Arabidopsis thaliana: one gene and its partner. The protein of the gene in region 1 interacts with the protein of each later gene in a pairwise test. Each region holds a gene or a part of one and is shown on either strand. Other genes may lie near its edges. The genes, in order: AT5G25570 and AT1G64590.

Region 1 (7,086 bases):
AAAAAAAGATAAAAGTTGATCACATTCACACCAGATGTAGTAACATAGAAAGAAGTGATAGGACAAGTAAGTGTAACTACCAATAAGAAGTCTTCTTTCCATCTCCTCCTAGCTTCCTCTTGCGTAAACTAGAATCCCAGTCTCCTTCCTTGGTATTTTCTTGAATATACGAACGTGCATCATCTTGCTACACCATCCACCAATGGAAACAAGACGATGAGTAACAAATGCAACTAGTAATGATATAGTTTTTTCTTTCCATATGTGTAACCAAAGAGGCATGCATTAAAAATACACTTCAACAACTTAAATGAAGAGAAGAAAATTACTTGAACTCGAAGCTCACAAAGTGCCTTCAAAATCTTCAGGCGGTTAATAGAGTCAAGTCCTTGGTATTCAGATATTTCCTCCCTATTCATACATCAGAAGAGAAGAAAGTTGTTATCAATACCAACTCAACCTGAATAAATTCACATTATTTCACCACTTACCCTTTGTTAACAGTAATATGAATTTCACCCTTAGCAATCTGCAACAATGACATTACAGGAGTCAATAAAGAAAACCACAGAGAAGATATAAGCTAACAAAAGAGTTCAGTGTGGCCTTACCCATGGCCACCATGGAGCTAGTTTCTTACACAACACCGTGATCCATGCATTTGCATCGTCAAGCGTTTTATTCACCGGTGGTATCCCCTGTTGAAAAATTCACATCCAGAAGGTTTCTTATAAGGCAACAAACACATAAACTTGAGCTTGTTAGATACCATTAACAGCTGCAAGGTCAATAACAGAACAAAAATCAAAAACCTTCAAAAGTGCAATGTGAAGCTGAGCATTTGTAGTGTTGGACTCGATAAGACCCATCTCAATTTCTTCAGCTGTGAACTTCAATTTCTCCGAGACAAGTGGTCCAAAGACCTATCACAATTCACAACAACAAAAAACTCTTTAGCAAAATCACATGACCAACGATGCAAAATGTTTAATTTCCCATGAAATTGAAGCATGCAAGAAGCAAAAGCTCTAACAAATCCCTAGAATCTACTACATGAGAGAGAGAAAGAAAGAATATTCCGTTTACAACGAAGATTCATCTGAAAAAGGCAAAATCGAATCCTTTGGTATGTACGACTAAGAGGTTCATTACATTGAAGAAATTGAGAACCGAAGCAAGTTCCCAACGTCCACGCAAGTGCTTCACCGCCGAATCGGAGGAAGAATCGTTGTCTGAATCGGAGGAAAGAATCGTTAAGTCTTCGCAGAGTCGTTCTTCTTCCTTCTTCTGTTCCGGTTCTCCGGTGACCACCATCGTCCTCTGGCGGAGCGTTACCATTTTCGTCGGAGAGAGAAAGTGGAAGATGAATGGGTTTTTGTGGGAGTGGAAAATGTATAAAATTGGAGAATTTTTCTGGGGGAATTCTCCCGCCAAAAGAGGAAATGATTTTACTATTTACTAATTTACCCTACAACACCCTAGGGCTATTAATTTCCCTTTTTGTTCTTCCTTGTATTTTCTTATATTTCTATTTTAGTCCCTTTATTCTGGAAAAATTAGTAATTCGGCTTTTATTTCTTTTTGCTCTAGTTGGACACGACTTGAACACATAATTGATTCCTTATACTAAACTTACGGCCCAAAGAAATTCTATCATATACTACATAATTCTGACAAGTTGAGCAGATACTTATTCCATTTGTTATCTGTTTTTACGAGTTTTTCACTTGAATACGAATATATACTGCATACTGGATTCACACTTTGTGATAAAAGTTTCAGTAATAGCAATGTAAAGCTAATACGACCTTATATATGTGGATCCAAAACCAAACCAGTGAGAGTCTTTGTTGACATTTCTAATATTTCCTTTACCTGATATAGTTTCTTCATGAGCATCACCTGATACATGAGGAAGTGGATCAGGTAATAATGAATTTAGCAGTTTCATTGTTTAAGTGAAGCTGTGAAGAGGTTTAAAATCGAGTACTTGGATTTAGCCTCGGCTGTTGCTTAGCATGTCTAGAATAGTGTAAGCAGCTTTCTGAAACTGGTCTTTCTCTTCCTCGAGGATCCTTTTCTTCTCCATAGCAAAATCCTTTGATTTCTCAATCTCTTCCTTGATTCCAACCGAGTTTTGATCGATTTCACTGCAGGGAAGGCACTGGATCAGCACTCAGCAGAAATAGTCATTCGTTGTAGTAAACAGAAGATAAACAATACTTACTAAACCATCTTGAGCATATTCTCCATCCCCATCTGAACTTGCTGTGACATTTCTGCAATTGCGTTTGTTTTCAACACAGTCAGGAGATGGCTAAAGAAGTAGACACACAACACTGACTTGTAGTCTCAATCCATCAACTGATTCTAATCCATGAAACATATAATGATAAACCTTTAAAACGAGTTATGGTGTTTGCTAATATGCAATTGAACAAGCCAAAGAGTTAAAGGATAGTGTATCGAGAGCATACAGAATTCGCGAAATAGACACAACATTGACTTGTAATCTCAATCCACCCACTGGTGATCTAATCCATGAAACGTTTAACAAGGTTTACTAATTCAATTTGCATAAGCCAAAAGGTTAAAGAAGAGTGTATAGAGAGTATACAGAATCTGGATGACAAAATATAGCAACTCTGAGATACCAAAATTGATAAAACCAACGAAAATGCACATCTTTCACTCTAAGTATCACCTACAGATCTATTTGCGAGAGAAGCAACGAACAATGGCGGATTCTAATACACATCTCGATTCCACAGTTTTTTAAGCGAAATCAAGATTAGATGAAGCGATTAAGCCATTAAGTAAGCACAAATCTCGTTAAATACCAAATCATAAGAGCATTTGACTTCACAAACATGAAGAACTCACGCTTAATCCTGATTTCTAGGTCAGTCGAAATTCGAAATTGGATGAACAAGGATCAGAGGAAAAGGAGGAAAAAACAAACCGAAGACGAGAGACGTCAGATCCGAATCAGCTTGCTGACCAGGAGATTGATGAGCAACAAGCTGTGCATCACTCTGCGATGGTGATTCCGCCATTATCGCCGAGAGAGAGTCAGAGAGATTTCAAAAAGAGAGAGGTTTCGTATCTAAGCGAGGAAACGGATATATTTTTGAGACGTGTGCTTTTGGCCTTTAATAAGAGTCTCTAAACCTATTAATATATGCGAGCAGCTAAAATTTTTTATTCATACAAGTTCAAATTTTTTAGGGTTTTTAACAGATTAAACGAAACTTTTCAATAAAGCCGCAGAATTACAAAGGAGATGAATCACAATGGAAACTAACCAGACCATCAAACAACACCAAGGAAACATATAGACTAGTGAACAAGAGACGACTCAGAGAATATTGAAGAAGAGAGTGAGAAGAGATAGACTCGAGAGACCCAGTCCTCAAGTTAAGGATCCAATGACACTATTGGATCAAGTGAAAAGCTCTTAATTGCATTTGATAGCAAATCAACTTCAAAAAAAGCTTCAGCCTCTGGTTTGGCGAGTGTTGTATGATTTGCAGTTTGGGCATTTCTGAGCCACCACATGGTACTGTACCTCTGCTTTCTTCCCACAGTCGTTGCAGAGAATCTGAACCTGTTTTTGTCACCGTCAAAAAGACTTTTAGTTCTTGGTTAGGGGATAAGGTGTAACTAAGTAAGTTTTGTTCTCATACTGACCATTCTGTTCTGGTATGGTTCTGGCATTGGTGTAGCCGCAATCTCCATGTCAAACTTCTCCCACACTTTTGACATGTCGCATACAGATTTTGAGCAAAGTGGGCACGCATATCTGCAGGCATAGTTTGGAGTTGTCAGTTGATATATACAACAACATTTCAAAATGGAACACAAGCCCCTGAATTTTATAATGTACTTACTGGTAATGATCTCTCATTTCCTCCAAGCACTTCTGATGAATTGTGTGTCCACATGGTAAAACCGTCACATCGTTCCGTGATTCAAACAGAAACTGGAAGAAAACCAGCCAGGACAGTTTTTGTTAACAAAGGGACGCTCATGTTTACAGTGGAGAAGTAGAACAAAAACCAACAATAAGTAATACCTCAAAGCAAATGGGGCAGTCGTGATGCATTGCTCCTTCGACACAAGGGTGACCGTTCTTGAGGAGGATTGAATAACAACAGCCTGGTTTGAGAATCAGAGAGCTGGTTAGATTGTAAAAATCAACAAATATAGCGGTGCCCAATCGGAAAATTTGAGGTTATCTGAAATCTGATGCAGTAAATGGCTTACCACACTTGTAACAGTGAAAGAAATTTTCACGTCCTCCGATTCTGAAACGAAAAAGAGATTTTAGTTATGAACAAATATATATCGTGTGGATTAAATCAAACATGTTGTATGTTAAAGAGAAGTCCAAGAATGTACCTGCAAATTCCACACCCATCGCAGTGGTACTGTTTTTTAGACGTCTGGAAACAAGATAAGCAACATAATGGTTAACCATTAACAACAAAAAAAAGCCTGGAAAACTCAGGGCATGGTATATAGCATAAGAAAAAGGATATGGATACAACAAACAAGCTTAGCAATAAGTTCTCCTCAGAGACTTACATCATCATCGTAGAGCTTGCAGACTTTACAGAAGTACTTCCCCATGCACACTCCACAGTGGATACAAATTTGGCCCACCTGGTACCAGAGAAAATACAGAGTTACATCTCCAACAAAGTTAAGAAAATGTCTGATTACTAAACGCAGAAAAAATCCAGAGAAAGTGTAAGAGTTAAAACATACCTCTTGTTCAGTACCACAAAGTAAACAAATAACCTGTGAAGAAGAAGATAGAGGTCTTGTCAACTGGGAATTGAACATAAAATAATAACTCCGAGAAACCAAGATATATAGACTACTTTACCTGTTCAACTTGGTGGCGAGGAATATCATGCCTCTGCTTCTGATCTACATTTATGTTGTTCTGCTCCAAAGACATGATTGCAAGAGTAAGTATACAGATTTTGTGAAAACAGCGGTTACAAAAAGTAGTTTCCTGAAATCTATAACTTGAAAAAAGCCTCTACCTTCGCCTCATAATGACAGTGATGGCAACCAAAGATCTCATTACAGCAAGGAGCTCTAATGCAACACCTTCTTCTGTAATGTGGACATCTGCAAGAACATAGGGGTATTCATCCAAGAAACAAGCTCAAAGCTAAGAATATACAAATAGGGAGTAAAACCTACCCATACTCCATTAGTCCTCTATCAAGGACTTTGTTTGTTAATGACTCTGCTGCTACCCTTTCCAGAGTTGACGACTCAGATTCTTCATTGATTGAATGAGGGTGTGAATGTCTTGACATTTCACCCTTCTCTTGGTCAGACATCTGCAGTTGCTGAGCGAAATGGTTGAAATATACGTCTCCCATTACGAATTATCTGTCTGTGATATTGGCAGATACTGCTAGTTGATGGAAAGCTTATGAAACCTGCAAGTAAGAAAATATTTAGAAAATCTATTCCTCATTTCGCAAACATTATCAGTCACCTGAAAATCCAGCAAAAAAACTCGATGAACTGTTGCTTCCATCTACATTGCACCACACCAAGACAATCCATTTTTGAAACAGCTCCAATCAGCTTTCTCCAAGAGGAACAATCACCAAAACAAGAAGATCTACAAATACCCTGTTAAACAACTAAAAACAGCCCTCTTGGTTGATGGAGCTTTCATAGAGAAATAAAAGCTTAGCACATTGAGTGTTCACTTCAGTCCTTCAATCTTGGGAAATCTATCCAGTTTCAACCGGATATGACCAACCTATCGTAAAAGCAAGGCAAACACCATCAAACAAGGTTTGGGACTGACATAAAACTTGGGATAACCGGGTTTTAAAGAGATGGGTAAGTGTCCAAAGAGGATAGACCTACCTCCCACTGCCACTTTGCACCAGATCTCTTCAGTCAACATACGAATCAGAAATTTCTTTAAGGAAACAAAGGCTTGAAGGGTACTCCTAGTTAATGGACCCCCATCTTTAAAGCTGACCTGTTTTGGCTTGACCTAAATGGTAACCCCATAATCGAAGGAATAAAAATCTTCTGATGCCGTTACCCGGAAAAATTCTACTAGCAAGTTCACAAGATCCGCATGGAGCAAAAACTTCATCATGGACAACAACGAGATATGCTCTAAGGGAAACTCACTATGGAGACCATAGCTGAGATAAGCAGACTACAAACAAAGTGAGCATTCATGCCGCCTTCTTGAAGAATAACTAAGAGGAACCTCTGTTAATCCACCATAGATGAGATGACAAAAAAAAAGAACACTCTTGGCCAAATCAGAGATGATTAAAGAGTTTCATTATCAAGGGGAAATGCTTAGGTAGAATGAAGATTGCACAAGTTAAGGTTAAGAAAGAAAAAGCAACTACTTGGGATAGAAAAATAATCGATTTTTTCCACTAGATCAACAAGAAGGATGGTTTCTCAGTGACCTAGATTCCCATTGGTAAACAAGAAGATACAAGAACCAAGCTCTCAGACTCACCTTGAATCTGGCTTTAATCTCCCGAAACAGCACCTAAAAGCCCTCCTACAGATAGATACCAAAGACCCCCCTAAGAACCCTGCCACTCAAAGACTGCTTCATAGTCATCATATGTATCCTATTATTAGGTCAATTCAAGGGTCTAGATTACGGATTGTTTCTTCTCTTCTTCTTCTGAAATCTTCCAAAAAATTTCAATTAACTATACATAAACCTAATCGATCAAAGTAAAGTGTACGAACAAAAATCAACCACACATTCAGAAACACAGACATTACCAAGAAAAAAAAACCCCAAAGGATTTAAATCACGGAAACGTAAACGAGAAGATAAACGAACTTTCGATCCGACGATTCTTCACCGATCAGAATTTTCAGAGAGAGAGACGATAAATTCTCCGACGATAATTCTCGCTCGCTCCGAAGCAACAAGATGAAACTGACGACGAATAAAATGAAAGTTTTTTTTTTCTCTTGCAGGTGAGGAGATTTATATAAGTAAAAAAAAATGCGTGTGGGTTTCTTATAAAGGAAATGTTTCCACATACTTCGAATTTTGAT
Region 2 (7,086 bases), on another chromosome or scaffold:
CTCGTCGTCTCCGCTACTCCTCGTCCCTCCGAAGACATTGTGTAACTGTCAGTCTCCGATTCCAATTCCATTAGTCTCTAATAAGATTCGTTAGGAATGGGTTTAGGGTTTCTTCATTGCTATATAAATCATCTTTTGTAACGAATAATATTATTGATAATGAGAAAAGAATTTGGATGATTTTGATCATACTCAGTGTTTTTCTTGATCATGAACTTAAAAAGCTTAGGCATGTATGTTTGTATCTCAAATCGTTTCAAGATTATGAACTTGACTACTTGCATTCATATAATTTTTGTACATATAAACATAGTTGATTGTTCCAAGATTTGGACTGACTTTATAACATTAAAGAATCAGTCTCTGAATCCTTCATAGTGCTAAAGCCTTAGAAAACAAATATACCTACGAATACAAATGCCTAACTTGTACACCTACAAACGCAAACAAATCCTTCATATACTCATAGTGGTAATTTGTCTTCTATGTGTTTCTTAATGCTGAGGTTTGTATAGCATCTGCATTGAAAATGTTTGACGCCTTCCGTATAACTTCTCCATCCAAAGCAATGTGTGGTCTTCTTGTGGAACAGGGGTTTAGTCTCTTCATTATACACTAACCTACTCTTTTACCCGAAATATATATACTTATGTAGGAGTGTATACACGTACATACCAATGTAGTGAATTAGGATGAGAGAAAGAAGAGTCTTAATCACGAGGCTCTCTCCAACAGAGCAGCATGACGAGGCATCGCCTTATTATGTATAATCTCGATCTCGTCTCCTTCAAGGACCGATTTGGAGTCAGCTTGTTGTTGTTGTTCTTCGCTTGCCTATGCAAATCCTTGTTTGACCCCATCAACTTCACAATCATCTTATGTGCCCATCAAAAGCCAACTTTTCTTTCCCCCTTTATAATAAGTTGGTTCAGGGTATGTTTTCTCTGAGTCATTAAGATGAATGTGAAACAAGAGACTCAGGCAAAGACTTCAACTAAGGATTTGATTGGTATTGTGCATTTCAGGGGTTTTTCTGTTTTGTCGTGCTGCATATTACTACTCTATTAGGATCAGTCTCTTCAAACCAACCGTCCAGAGTAACTGTCTTCTGCAAAACACAACCGTTACTTTACTCATTTTTCTGTCTCTCCTCAAAATGACAAACTTCCATCAATTGTCAGTTGTTTCACCTTACACTTGTCCGTTGATTTTTAATTATAACTCTGCATTTTTTTCTTACTACCTCAAGTCAATATAATACCCTGGTTTTAGGCATGCATGCCTTGGAAAATGAATCATAAACTCGTAAAAATTTTGGCCCTCACTTTCTTGTCTTTCTCTAATATATTATTTATTACTATTAGTTTGCGTAGAAATCTTGATCACTTGAAATTCATAATTAATTTAGGCGTTAAAGATCTTCGATAATGGTTCAAGTATAATTTTCTTTGAAAATTTTTGAAGGTTGAATCTGACTAGGTATTTAACACGGAGACGTTTCATGTAAATCCATAGCTCATGAATCTCGTGGCTGTGCTTTGATCAACGAAACTCGTGCTTACTTATTTTAATGTGATTAATATTATTATAAATTAAAACCAAGATACGATCTTGTATTAAGACGTAAGGGATCTACACTTATACATCACACTATCAAAAATTCAAAAACGTATCGATTAAAGAAATCATTTTTTAAAACTTTATAGGATATATCGCCCGCCACAAGTTATTCAAGTCTAATATATAGTCAACGTGTAAAACCACAAAGTTACAAACTTACAATAACATTCACTCGACCCGGTTGGATTTCTCTATATTTTTTTTTATGTATTGTTGTAACAAGAAGACCAATACATGTTGTTGTGATCTATCAAGAGGATTTACCAAGTAGGCAAGTAAGTAACCAATGTTTCCAACAATTTTTCGTTCAAACCACAAAATCATAGAAATAGTCCTTAAGATTGACTGATTTGAGTATGTATCTTGCTAATTCAGCTTGTGATATAGTAGCATAAGGAACGGGCGTTAATTATACCAACTTAAGCAAAAAAAAAAAGTATATTTATATGTAGATTCTTTTTATATAAAAAATAGCGTCGGTCAACAAATATTAGAATCTAACCATTCATGGAAGAAAAGAGTATGAAACTGATTACAAAAGAGAGAATCAGGTAGCCACTCACAAAAATCCCAGACTGTATGGACCATAATAGCTTGAATATATGTAATAGTTCTCCAAAAGGCTACCAATAAAACTAATAAAATGATTGGTTAATAACAAGATAAAAATGGTAGCAATAGTGGCATGCCAAATAGAAAAAGGATGTGACCAACTCTCTCTTGGCAAGTTGGTGTCCAATTACACAACCTAACCCGTTTTATACATAAAGCAAAGATTCCAACATTGTCAAGGTCGTTCCAATTCCAAAGGTGGAGGAGTCTCTTTTCTTATTCCCATTAATCAAAAAGTTGTATATAATGTATATTCAACGTCTCTCACCCAACGATCATATTTTTTTTTAGTGTGGGATCCTTGGAAGAGACAACGCCTCCCAAGGTGGAGGAGTTTATTTATTCAAAACACTTCATCAATTTTGAGTTTATCTCTACGTCTCTTGTATCATTCATATTATATCCTGCAAAATTTGCTTAATTATTGATTCTTGGAGGTTGGACCACCTTTTTCTTTAATAGAGAGAAAAAAGAAATGAATTTTCGATCCATAAATCTTTCAAAATTTAAGACCAATCATTGAAAATATTTATGATAGATTCACAAAATGTAGATCATTGAAAATATGTATAATAGATTCACAAAACGTAAATCATTGTTTTGTAGACGAAACGTGGTCTCTATATAGTGAAATGATAGCAACTTTTCTCTCTTTTTTTCATGAGATGATTTTTTTTTCATATAAATACATTTGAATATGTATTCCATAACCTAATGTATCTTTGCAAATTCTTCTACAATTAAAGGACATGATGCAAATTAAATAATCTGATAACTTACTAATTATATTCAATTTCTCTGTAAAGTAATATTCTATCTTGATGAGAAAACTTCAAGATTATCCTTATATTGAATTTGACGTAAGATGATTTATAATTATGAGGAAAATTTTTAATACTAATTAGATGGATCATTCTGGACCTGCAAATAGGACACATGTATATAGAGTTGAAACATATTATAAATAAAAATAAAAATAGAAATTAGTGGAATTGTTAGTGGGTAGTAGTTGGATTTGGGTAAGATTACTTTATGATGAATTTCATATTGAGGCTTGAAGATCTTCTTCTCATCCATTGACGGATTGGATCCTCCAAGAACAGAGAGACCAATTAGCTTACTCTATTGTGCCATTCTCCACCGTATCTTTTGCTTCAACCACTTACAATTTTACAAAGGAAAATTAACTACAAGACAATTTACCTAAAGGTGGAATTTAAGAATATTCTGAAAATATCACTTTAACTACGTGTTTGATGTATGAATCATATACAAATGATATATTATAAGAGGCTTTAAAAAAGGATCAAGTCTTTGTTATATTCCTTCGTTTAGAGTATAAGCGGTCCTAAATGCACTTGTAGCATTCATAACAATTATTGTAGCGCGGTATACAAGTATTACAGTTATTTACATACAAATAACTGTAAACGCTCTATGGAGTTGAGAAACTTGTATGTAATAAGACCATCATCCCTACAGTTGGGTTTATACATTTTGTAAATGAAAATTGGATACATCTTAGGTCCATGTAGATAAACCTGCACTTTTCAATAGAGTGTGTGACTAGGTCTGGGAGATAGAGTTTCCTTCACTTCTTATGATGATTATAAAAGTATAGGAGGGGGACCATATTTAAAATGTAAAGATTCGGAGGATAATACCATTAGAAAGTTGGACATCATTAGTAAATAGTGAGTGTTACCCAAAACAAGGCACTATCTATGCATTGTTTCTGCTTTTATATTACAGTTTTTCTTTATATATTTTGGACGATTATGGTTTGTATTCACATAAATTTCAATTATAATTTTGCTATATGATTCATCTTCCTCTATCATTCCTCTTAGTCAAATAGAGTTGGCTAACTAAACCTTTTATTTTAATCAAATTACTCCGTTTTAACTTGTTTTGGTGCCAATCAAAACCAAATTTTATACACTAATTATTTTTACTCGTTTTTTTTTACAAAAACATTAAGAATGATACAACATAAAAAAATGTTGTCTCCCTTTATCCGCATTTGTTCCTCAAAGATGTAGCACTATAAATAGTCTCATCACCCTAAGACCAAAACCCCAACACTCAAACTCAACTGCTCTCCCATAACCGAAACCGAGAGAAAATATAGAAAAAGATGATTGAGACGGTTAAACACCTGATCGGCTCCGGTGGTCCCAGCGGATTCGGGTCAAGATCCACCGCCGATCATGTCACTTGTAATTCTGATCTCCGTTCTCTAACTGCCATCATCACTGGTTAGTCATAAACTTAAAGTTACTTCTTCTTTTTCAACTTAACCGAGTCGCAAAATGAGTTTCCTAACTAATAGTCTCTCTGTTTCTTTTCTACTAGGCGCGACGTCGGGGATAGGAGCTGAGACGGCGCGTGTTCTTGCTAAGCGTGGCGCAAGACTTGTGCTTCCGGCTAGAAGCGTCAAAACCGCCGAGGAAACAAAGGCTCGTATACTGTCGGAGTTTCCTGATGCGGAGATCATCGTTATGCATCTTGATCTCAGCTCACTTACCTCTGTTCGTCGATTCGTGGACGATTTCGAATCTCTCAATCTCCCACTCAACATCCTCATGTAATTTAAACTCTATCTTCATAATCATATAGCGAAAATGTTTTTATCTGATTTTTTCTAACCTTTTGTAAACTTTTTTGGTTTGTGTTTGTAACAGAAACAATGCTGGGAAATATGCGCATAAGCATGCCCTCTCTGAGGACGGTGTGGAGATGACCTTCGCTACTAATTATCTCGGTAATTAAGTTTTCATAAATCCATCATTGACTTATAATATATCATTCATTGATTTATATGTTCTCTAATAGTAATTCATGGTGTGTTTAGGCCATTTTCTGCTGACTAAACTGCTGTTAAAGAAGATGATTGAAACGGCGGCACAAACCGGCGTGCAAGGCCGTATCGTCAACGTCACGTCCGTCGTCCATAGCTGGTTTTCCGGTGATATGTTGCAATATCTCGCCGATATCTCACGAAACAATAGGTAATTTTTAATTAGTATAAGCTAGAAAATATCATTCCAATCATATAGCGAATAATTAATCATTGTTTAATAATAAGTACAACAAAAAGGTGATGCGACGACAAAAATAAACGCCGTCGTCCTCTCGTCTTTTTCCTTTATTTAAAATCATATTTTCAGAGAGAATAATAATAGTTTATACTTTGTGACTTGAGTTTGACCCACTAATTATAGCTTTAACTTTGCGTTTTACAGAAATTACGACGCGACTCGAGCCTACGCTCTCTCCAAGCTCGCCAACGTGCTCCACACTGTTGAGCTATCACGGCTTCTCCATGTACGTTATTATACAAATTTAACTATTTGGTAGGAAGTAACAATTTATCTCCTCATTTCTAATAATAAACTACAATATATATGCAGAAAATGGATGCGAATGTGACGGCCAATTGTGTTCATCCTGGTATCGTGAAAACCCGTCTCACAAGAGATCGAGAAGGCGTCGTCACTGATTTAGTGTTTTTCTTGACATCCAAGCTATTGAAGTCTGTTCCTCAGGCAGCAGCTACGACATGTTACGTGGCAACAAGTCCAAGATTGAGGAACGTGTGTGGCAAGTACTTCTCCGACTGCAACGAAGCTAGGTCATCTAAATCCGGGTCATGCAATCTCAAAGCTCAGAGACTCTGGACTGCTTCTGACTTGTTGGTTTCTCCACCTAATTCCACTACCAATCTTTCTCATACCTCCTTTTAACCAACAAACCATCCTAGCTATTTTCTACGTGTAAATCTTAAGCCCTATATATAGTAATATAATTAGCTTTATAATATATATAGTTATAGAAATATATACTATAGATGAAATGGGATGTGTGTGTGTAGTTGTGTTACGTGTGCATATAGCAAGCCTCCCTATATTTAATATGTGGTTATGGTTTGACATTATTGCTAATATATATATATATATATATTACTTAGCTTGTAGGGTTTTGTAATCCTAGCTAGCTAGGTCCTTGTTATGTAATATATACATATATCAATCAAAAACATCACAGAATTTCATAATCTTGATCTTGATACTCTTATAAAAATTTGTTTATTTCTGTTGATCACTGAAATGAAATCATATCCATCCACACAATCCAAATATGGTTCCTTTGCAATATTAGCAACCACTCTTCAAATGGGCCAATAATGCTAGTCACTGCTATAATAAAGGGCTTTTAGGCCCATTAAATAATCATTTGGTCTTTCAAAGGCCCATCACGCTAAGCCCTAGACCCTCCTCCAAAGAATGAAATGAAATCCTATCCACAAGCCTAATTTGGTTCCTTTTCAAAATACATACCAAATTTCGATTTGTCAACAACTCGTCAAATGGATCTCGAATAATCACTAATCACTGCTATAATAAAGGCCTCATTAGGCCCATTATAGAAACATTTGGCTCTTTGAAAGGCCCATAACGCTAAGCCCTAGACCCTCCTCGGAGGCTAAAACCTCTCGGCTCCTCCTGCAACTTCCATTTCAGTTCAAGCTCCGGCTGAAAATGGCGAATGCCCAGAAAGTCTTCACTGTAGAAACCCTAAGATCTGCATCGAAACAGTGTCTCCGCTGCCTAGTCGTCCCCGTCCGTCTCCGCCGCGCTATTAAGAAATATCTCCGCGAGGAAGATGATCCTCACATTAGGAAGAAGGTGCGTCAGTTATCGGAATCATTCCAAGAGATCAAGGACACCAATCTTCAGTTACCTGAAACCACGGCCAAGAGTCTGGCTGATTCTATGAACTCGCTAGAGACCAAACGATGGAAGATACAAACCGTTTATGGAGATAGCGGTCTCCAATACAGAGACGGTGAGA

The links.
Region 2: the proteins of AT5G25570 (region 1) and AT1G64590 interact in a two-hybrid assay, tested with the Arabidopsis thaliana proteins (one large-scale study listed by BioGRID).

Annotation. Positions count from the first base shown.
Region 1 is NC_003076.8:8,897,802-8,904,887, reverse strand, and holds AT5G25570 (polyamine-modulated factor 1-binding protein), read right to left. Parts: upstream 3,134-7,086; 5' UTR 3,057-3,133; coding exon 2,963-3,056; intron 2,899-2,962; coding exon 2,841-2,898; intron 2,318-2,840; coding exon 2,228-2,317; intron 2,151-2,227; coding exon 1,997-2,150; 3' UTR 1,991-1,996; exon of another isoform or gene 1,903-1,990; 3' UTR 1,672-1,902; downstream 1-1,671. Other genes in the region: AT5G25580 (uncharacterized protein), read right to left, coding at 81-187, 330-411, 492-529, 612-698, 813-923, 1,153-1,338; AT5G25560 (CHY-type/CTCHY-type/RING-type Zinc finger protein), read right to left, coding at 3,497-3,607, 3,691-3,802, 3,891-3,982, 4,076-4,158, 4,267-4,307, 4,402-4,445, 4,588-4,665, 4,771-4,833 and 3 more.
Region 2 is NC_003070.9:23,989,223-23,996,308, forward strand, and holds AT1G64590 (NAD(P)-binding Rossmann-fold superfamily protein), read left to right. Parts: upstream 1-4,254; 5' UTR 4,255-4,369; coding exon 4,370-4,490; intron 4,491-4,587; coding exon 4,588-4,819; intron 4,820-4,916; coding exon 4,917-4,996; intron 4,997-5,086; coding exon 5,087-5,243; intron 5,244-5,477; coding exon 5,478-5,559; intron 5,560-5,645; coding exon 5,646-5,978; 3' UTR 5,979-6,287; downstream 6,288-7,086. Other genes in the region: AT1G64584 (uncharacterized protein), read left to right, coding at 1-45; RTFL22 (ROTUNDIFOLIA like 22), read right to left, coding at 711-875; AT1G64600 (copper ion binding / methyltransferase), read left to right, coding at 6,774-7,086.